Linked DNA regions of Callithrix jacchus. The protein of the gene in region 2 purifies or fractionates together with the protein of the main gene of each other region. This does not show direct contact. Links are inferred from orthologs where the notes say so. Each region holds a gene or a part of one and is shown on either strand. Other genes may lie near its edges. The genes, in order: IREB2 and CIAO2A.

Region 1 (3,815 bases), about 15 Mb from region 2:
GCCAAATATGTCCAGCTCAGTTCTGAAAAGGAATTAATATACTTTCAAGGTCCACTTACAAATCAGAGTCCAATAACCACAATTTTAGAGTCTAATCTGGCTTCTTATATTTCAGTCTGCTACTCTTAAACCAACAAACAGTAGTACACAGTTTTATAGGTGCAAAACTAAACAACTCCAGGAAGGTTACTCATATAAGAATCTTCAACACGAATTCTGCCTTTATTTACAAAATGGTCTGATAAAATATCCCCCCCCATACTTACAGGTCTCTTCCACAACACACTTCACACGTTGATTTTAGCAATGTTAATAGCACCATTCGTAAATTATTTAAAATCAAGAAGATTTCTTTTCAGTCACTACGTTGATTCATCATCATGTACATCCATGGATGAGAGAAGTGAGTATACTGGGACTATCTGCAGCTCCATGGTAAGGATTCCTGGGTCCAGCACAAAAGGCTTTGCAGTTACCAGTTATGAAAGGTATCCATGGTAAGTAGATACTATGAGAATTTTCGTGCCACAAAGTTTAATAATCCTCCATGTTTGTATAATGTTATTTCCACATCATTTTCAAACGAAGCAATCACGCTGAATACTTTTCCAGTGCTTGTCTTTAAAGAAACAAAAACATCTTAAGTGAGCACGTAAATCTTCCAGGTGCTACTCGATGGTTAAGACCATCTGTCTTCACATTCAATGACTATACTTGCCCCATAGTCTGTCTGATTTCTCCTGGTTCTAATTTCCTATATTCTGATTGCCTGAAACTTTTCTGCTGCTTGAAAAACACCTGAGATACCTGACCATGGGCTTCATAGCTAAGTAGAAAAACAGTTGCAGTTAGATTTTGACTTATTAATTGGGGAAGTTATACTCACTACTCATATTTGTTTTACACCAAATATCCACTGCCTATAATGAGTAACTCCTACTCTTTTCCCTTTTTTTCTTAGTTGTAAAGTCTGTGCTGCTCTACCCTTGTAAGTTCAACTTTGCCTTCTCTTTGGAGTGGTATATATACCTGGGTTAAAATTAGATCAGGACAGCAAAAACTGAAAACCATGAAAAGGAAGCTGACACTTGTTAAGCGGAAGTCAAGATTACCCTCCACGTATTCTTTTTTTCTGGTGTAAGCATCTAGTTCTTTCCACTTTTCCTCAGAGAACACCAACTATTATTAACATAGATCTAAGTATGAAGGAAAGAGTCATTTTAAATGGCAACTTAACATTCTCTAAGTGACATTAGTATATAATTTACAGCAATTGATTCTTAATCAATTCATAAACATCTGAGTAGAGTGCATAATCATATTTGAAAATTTTAGAGATACCTGTATATTCAATGTAATTCCAGGAGCCAGTTCTTCAGGAAATGTTAAAGAAAATGTTTCTCTACCGGAGAGGCCCAAGGAATCTGCATTTTCTCCTGGAAGGAACTGAAGTGGAGCTATGCCAATTCCAATCAAATGATCTTTGTGTATTTTTTCATAACTTTCAGCCAAAACAGCTTTCACACCCTGTAACAAATGTGCATTTATTTCCTCCATAACTTTCCTTCTGAAAGTTATTTACTGAGCATTTAAAGGGGGAGAAAAATCTACTCTGGCCTTTCTCTAAACACTTTTAGTCTAATACCTCATATTCAATCAATGTTCTATCAAAGTATTTACAGAAGCTTTTTATAGATTATTTTTCTGAATTTCTGAATTTTTATGGAGCGCCCTAAATTATTCTGACCCCCTCCACTGCTCTAGGGTTAGGTACTACCGCTGCTTACCACATCATAAGAGCTCTGTAAATGGGCTGGCTCCTTTGACCCTAAAATAGGGCTCAGGAGAATTTCTACTTAAACACAGCAGATGAAACATTCAACACTCTTGAAATGAAACTGAAATAAAGGAATAAAGAAGGTATATGGGGCCAGGTGCAGTGGCTTATATGGTTATAATCCCAACACTTTGGAGGCTGAGGCTAGGAGTTTGAGATCAGCCTGGGAAATATACTGAGACCTTGTCTCTACAAAAAATAAAAATAAATAAATAAATAAAATTAAAAAATAACAATAGGCTGGATGCAGTGTCTCAAACCTGCAATCCCAGCACTTTGGAAAGCCAAGGTGGGCAGATCACTTGAGGCCAGGAGTTTGAGACCAGCCTGGCCAACATGGTGAAACCCAGTCTCTACTAAAACCACAAAAATTAGCTGGATGTGGTAGCAGCGGAGGGGAGGTCAGAATATTTTAGGGAGCTCCATAAAAATTCAGAAATTCAGAAAAATAATCTATAATCCCAGTTACTGGGAAGGCTGAGGCAGGAGAATTGCTTGAGCTTGGTAGGTGGAGGTTGCAGGGAGGTGAGATCATGCCACTGCATTCTAGCCTGGGCAACAGAGTGAGACTATGTCTCCAAAAATATATATAAATAAATAACAACAATAATAAAGAGGGTATAAGCCCAGAGCAACAAAGGGAATAGAATGAGTGAATTCTATGAATATTTAGAAGACAGGTAACTGATTTGGATGACAATGTTGAAACTAGAGAATGATGAAATGAAATTAGGGAGCAACGCCAATAAGGTCTGAGTTAATGTGCAATGCAGGACCCAGGAAAAGGACTGAGATTCAGAGGTATGAGGTTCTCAGAATACTGGGGGGATACAGGTTATAAGGCCACATAAAGCAGTAAGATCCAGCTCAATCCCCACTCCAGAAGAATAGAGGTTTATTCTCTGGAAAAAATGAGCCAAAGGCTCTAGACTTCTGTTTTTCAACTTTTTTCTCCACTGTCTACCTAAAAAGCCTTTTTAGACATTTTTCCATAATAGTGTCTTCCTGTTCACCCCCTTCTCTCCAAAAGTTTAATACCACTAAGATGCCACGTATCTTTTTATGTACTCTATATTTGTCTGTATTTTATATGTAAAAAGTAAAACTTTTTTTTTTACCACCTAAGAACCAACTTTTGTTCCTTGGGAGTGCCATCACCCCTTTAAAAAAATTTTTTTTTACTTATTTTTTTGTGATAGCGGAAATAACGAAGAGAATACATTCTCTAGACTGACAATCACTGGGCAGAGGGGAAGCTTGAGAATACGACACCGAAAACAGGACTAAGTAGAAGTCTACATCCTGAATGAGTCTCTTTCCTTGAAGAAGCTGAACAGCCTCAGAGAAAATACAGATAATGACATACAGAATCTCTTAATGAAAAAGGCAGCTTATCTACCTATCACCTATAGTAAGGTCCACTAACTGACAAATCCAGCTCCCATCCACAGCTTGTAATCATTTTTTTTTAATGTCTAACAAATGGACAGCCAAGCATTACCTGCCATATGCGGAAAGCTTCCAACATCAGAAACAAAGACTATGACAATTTCCAGGATAAAAGGAACCTATACCTACCATTAATACTCATAAATAATACTTATAATTAGTATGTTAGAAGGCTGTGATTTTGGTTTATTCCCATACCCCTCAGAGTATTTATAATTTTAAAGGAGAAATTAAAGGTTAAAGTAAGAGTGAGGTCTACATGATATCTGTGTTGCAGCCAGCCTTTTAATAGCTACAATTGTAAAGAGAAGCACTTGTGAGTATGAAATAGCAGAAAGCACATGTCAAATGACTATTTTTCCCAGCAGATGGCCTCAAGGAAACAGTCTCAGGAGAACTGTTCTCCTAGCAGACAGCCAGGCACCACAATCTTCTATTTAGGGGGAAAAAAAGGTGAAACTTGGCCCACTACTTCTGAGTCTCGAACCTGCTAATGGGGCAAATCGGAGAAAATTAAATCAAAAGAAGG
Region 2 (4,548 bases):
GAAAGAAAGAAAGAAAGAAAGAAAGAAAGAAAGAAAGAAAGAGAGAGAGAGAAAGAAAAGAAAAGAAAGAAGGAAGGAAGGAAGGAAGGAAGGAAGGAAGGAAGGAAGGAAGGAAGGAAGGAAGGAAGGAAGGAAAGAAACTAATGCCTGGGCCCCAATTCCAGAGACTCTGATTTAATTGGTTTGCTGGCCTTTGAGTTTTAAAAATTCCTCAGGTTGGCCGGGCGCGGTGGCTCACGCCTATAATCCCAGCACTTTGGGAGGCCGAGGTGGGTGGATCACGAGGTCAAGAGATCGAGACCATCCTGGTCAACAAGGTGAAAACCCGTCTCTACTAGAAATACAAAAATTAGCTGGGCATGGTGGTGCGCGCCTGTAGTCCCAGCTACTCGGGAGGCTGAGGCAGGAGAATTGCTTGAACCCAGAAGGCAGAGGTTGCCATGAGCCGAGATCATGCCATTACACTCCAGTCTGGGTAACAAGAGCAAAACTCCGTCTCAAAAAAAAAAAAAAAAAAAAAAAATTCCTCAGGTTGTTCTTAGGTGCAACCCAGGGTGAGAATAAGTGGTATAAAGAAAAACAGACCCGACAGATCCATGCAAAGCACCTAATTTAGGGATCAGAATGAGAAATAAATGCAAAAAGAACTGGAGAAGGGAAGAGAGGGATGGTTAATACTATCAAATGCTGCAGAAAAAGTCAGGCTGATGACAGCTAAAACAGGGCTTTCATTTGTCACCCTGTCAGCTGTAAGAAAACAATTTCAGTAGAGAGGGGGAGGGCTGAAGCCACCTTGCAAAAGGGGAAGCAAGTGGGAACTGAAAATGTCTTCCTAGGGCCTTGGCTGGGAAGGGAGGAACAGGGAAAGGACAGTGGCTTTATAAGGAACCTAGAACAACGACAAGGATAAAGGAAACTTTGAGGAGAGAAATTGCATATATAAGTGGGGAGGAGAGGAGACTTGTAAATAAGCAGAAGGGGATGGGATTAATTACGTAGGAGTCTAGGTTGGCCTTGGAGAAGATAGGATTTCCTTCTTACTCTGAGGCTGGAGAAAGAGATAAAGGAAAAGAGAACAATAAAGAGAAATGGTGATGGGAGGCTGAGGCGGGCAGATAATGAGGTCAAGAGATCGAGACCATCCTGGCCAACATGGTGAAACCCCATCTCTACTAAAGATACAAAAATTAGCTGGGCATGGTTGCACATGCCTGTAGTCCCAGCTACTCGGGAGGCTGAAGCAGAAGAATTGCTTGAACCTGGGAGGCAGAGGTTGTTGCAGTGAGCTGCGACCACGAGACTTCGTCTCAAAAAAAAAAAAAAAAAGAGAAATGGTGAAGTAGAAAGGAAAGAAGCAGAATTTTACATAGAATGTGCTTGAGGTTCTATAATCTGAAGTTTTGTTCTATTATTTATCACACAAAATTATATACAATCAGAAATGCAACTGGGAAAAACAAAAACAAACTCTATTTTGTCTTTAATTTTCTCCTGTGTTTGTCACTTGATTAGAAACAGAATTTTGCCAAGGACGGTAGCTCACGCCTGTAATCCCAACACTTTGGCAGGCTGAACAAGTGCGTCACCTGTGGTCAGGAGTTTGGGACCAGCTTGGCCAACATAGCAAAAACCTGTCTTTACTAAAAATATAAAAATTAGCCGGTGTGGTGGCACGTGCCTGTAATCCCAGCTACTCAGGAGGCTGAGGTAGGAGAATCACTTGAACCCGGGAGGCTGAGGCTGCAGTGAGCCAAGACTGTGTCACTGCACTCCAGCCTGGATGATGGAAGAGACCGTCTCAAAAAAAAGAAACAATTTGGAAACATAGGCAAGAAAGAGGATAAAGCTTCTCTTTCATAGAGTTGTGTCATCATGGGATTTAGGGAAACAAGAGTTTTCTGAAAAGGAATTTTCTGGCTCTCATAGTTGAATTATATTTGTATTCTACAGTTAGATCTCTCAATATTATATCCGGTCTTTTTGGTTTTCAAAAACAATACAAAATAATTTTTTTTAAAAGTTGCAAGGCAATTGTGAAGTGGTGGAAAGTACATCAAGTTTAGAAGCAGAAGGCATAGCCTTTAGTTTTTGCTCTGTTCCTTACAGACAGTGTGACCTCTAGGTAGTTAAGCCTTTGTTTCCTCATTTGTACAATAAAGATGGACCCAAAGGCTAAATAGAAAATATTTAATATATAACATGGAAGAGTGTATATACAAGGCCTTGCTACAAGAAGCCAATCTTGTTCTCTTCTTCTGGGGACCTCTGTTTACTGACTTTGCCAGAGTGGCTGTGACCTTGGGCCAGTCCCCAACTCAACTGTCACCCACCAGTGCCCTCAGTGGTAGCAGGAGTGCGTGTCCAGGAGCTAGAGGAAGTTCTAGTAGTGCAATCAGGCCAGCTTTGCTTCCTAACCAAACACCCTAGACTTGTGCTCTGCCCACAAGTCTTGGAATAGTCTCTAAGACGTAGGCCACACGTGGAGAATTAAGCATTTAAGACCTCCAGGGTCTGCTTGCCCCAGGTTTACGGAGAGCCCAGTTCCTAAAAGACCCACACTCCCGCGTGACTTAGGACCCCGAAGAAAGCGCTTGCTACGCTCCGGACAAGATGTGGCACACAACACACACACACTCCCGCGTGACTTAGGACCCCGTCCGGACATGACAGACACACACACACACACACACACACACACACACACAACAAGTCTCCCCTCCCAGCCCTCAAGTGAGGCCGTCATCCCCGCACCCCCCACCTCCCGCCGGCACCTATAACGCCAAATGCTGTGCTGGGTAAAATTAATTACCATAAACCTCTAGCGCTTTCTCTTCCATGATCCGGAGCTGCCGGGCAGCTCCCGGCTCAGAGAGTCCCGAGAGCCACAGGACTCTGTTCAGCGTCCAGGAGAGCAGCCCAGACACCCGCTGCATCCTCACGCTCAGCCATCCCTGGCGACTGTCTCACTCGCGCCACCGTCTCTCAGCAGCCGTCCACGGGATTGATCAACTTCCTGGTCTTCAAGTGGGCCGAGACGAGCCTAAACGTTAAGGGGAGCAGAGAATAGGCGGGACCGGACACGGAGTAACTTGGAGGACCTACGGAAAGGCGTCTCAAGGGCTACAAGTCCCAGAATGCTTTGCTCTGTTTCGGCGGGACGAGAAAAAAATCTTCGCGGCTTGTTAGCGCATTGCATGCTGGGATGGGTGAGCTATTTTCTTTGGAAGGCAGCGAACTGTATTCTGGGACTTGTAGTGTCCGGCGGGCAGAAGGGAATGTAACGGTCTGTTAACTGCCACTGATTATCTCATTCAGCATCTGTGATAAGCTAAAGATAAATCCCGAAGAGGTAGGGGAAAGGAGATCTTGAGTTCTAGTGCTGGAAGAGGTTTTCAGCACGGAGACTCTACAGTTATTCTACGCTAACAGCCAAAATCTTTCTTACTTCCTGATCGGACAGGAAGTGGGTGTCAGTTGCTCTGAAAAGGGATGTCATGGGAAGCCTGTAAGGTAGTCAGGCATGGCATGCGGAGGGCTTTTTGGCTTTCTTGTCTCCTAAGGGATTCAGTCCAGCACAGCTTCCCACCTTGGAACGAATATTTCTGTTAATGGCCTTCAAAAACAACTTAGAGCAGGAGAACGTTTCCTGTGTCTAATGCATACAGTTGTGACATAATGGAGATCGCCATCCTTAAAAGTGTTATCTTAAGCCCTCTGGTGTTCGAGGGTGTCATGGATGCCAGTAACAAAATCGATGATTTTGTTTTATCCACCCATCCCTCCGATCAAAGTTATAGGTACTAATTTGCCAGGAGTGATCCATAGGCATGGAAGATACAAAGATAAACAGCTCCCCTGACCTGTGAGGGAGCCCATCCCTGAATTGGCAGTTACAAACAAACTCACTAAACCTCTTGTCGAAGTTGGTGACAAATGCCATCTCTATTGAGAAGATAGGATTATCTTGCCGAATTGCCCCCTCCTAACATGCCTATTTATCTTTAAACTCCAGTCATGTCTAGTTGATGTAGGCTTTTGAATCACCAATGAACAGCTTAGGTCCCAGGGAAATTTTGGTCAGGGTTTAATAATTTCCCTGCCGTCTATTTCACTCCAGTTACTCCACAGCAATTGAGAGGATAATCCTAATATTTTTCCAGCCACATCTAATACACTGAGGTCTCACTTCCTCTGTTAGGCCTTATGAATTCTCCAGAGTTGATTATCTCTTTTCCCTGTGCTCCCAGAGCACATCATAGCATTGAACATGTTGAATTGTCGATTTACATAACTTTCTCCCTTAGTAAGTTGTAAGCACCTAGTGGGCCGGGAGCTTATTTCTGTATCTGAAACTAAGGTGCCAGGCACACAATAGATGCTCAATATCTATATTACCGAATTAACTGAATGTTGCCCAAGGAATAAGTGGTGAAACTTTCTTGCAGTCTTGTTCACAGACCTCAATCGAAATAATTTATACACTCTCTGTGAGGGCACTGTGCTTGGCATGGATTGATGGCACGTAGAGGTTTTCAAAGGTTTTAGTGA

The links.
Region 1: the proteins of CIAO2A (region 2) and IREB2 purify together in Homo sapiens (affinity purification with mass spectrometry; 3 studies listed by BioGRID and IntAct, with this or other methods). This does not show direct contact. The link is inferred for Callithrix jacchus from reciprocal best matches to the Homo sapiens genes CIAO2A and IREB2.

Annotation. Positions count from the first base shown.
Region 1 is NC_133509.1:25,860,762-25,864,576, reverse strand, and holds part of IREB2 (iron-responsive element-binding protein 2), read right to left. Parts: intron 1,528-3,815; coding exon 1,342-1,527; intron 620-1,341; coding exon 509-619; 3' UTR 1-508. UniProt on the Homo sapiens protein: RNA-binding protein that binds to iron-responsive elements (IRES), which are stem-loop structures found in the 5'-UTR of ferritin, and delta aminolevulinic acid synthase mRNAs, and in the 3'-UTR of transferrin receptor mRNA.
Region 2 is NC_133509.1:10,897,019-10,901,566, forward strand, and holds the start of CIAO2A (cytosolic iron-sulfur assembly component 2A), read right to left. Parts: upstream 3,116-4,548; 5' UTR 2,934-3,115; coding exon 2,810-2,933; intron 1-2,809. UniProt on the Homo sapiens protein: Component of the cytosolic iron-sulfur protein assembly (CIA) complex, a multiprotein complex that mediates the incorporation of iron-sulfur cluster into extramitochondrial Fe/S proteins.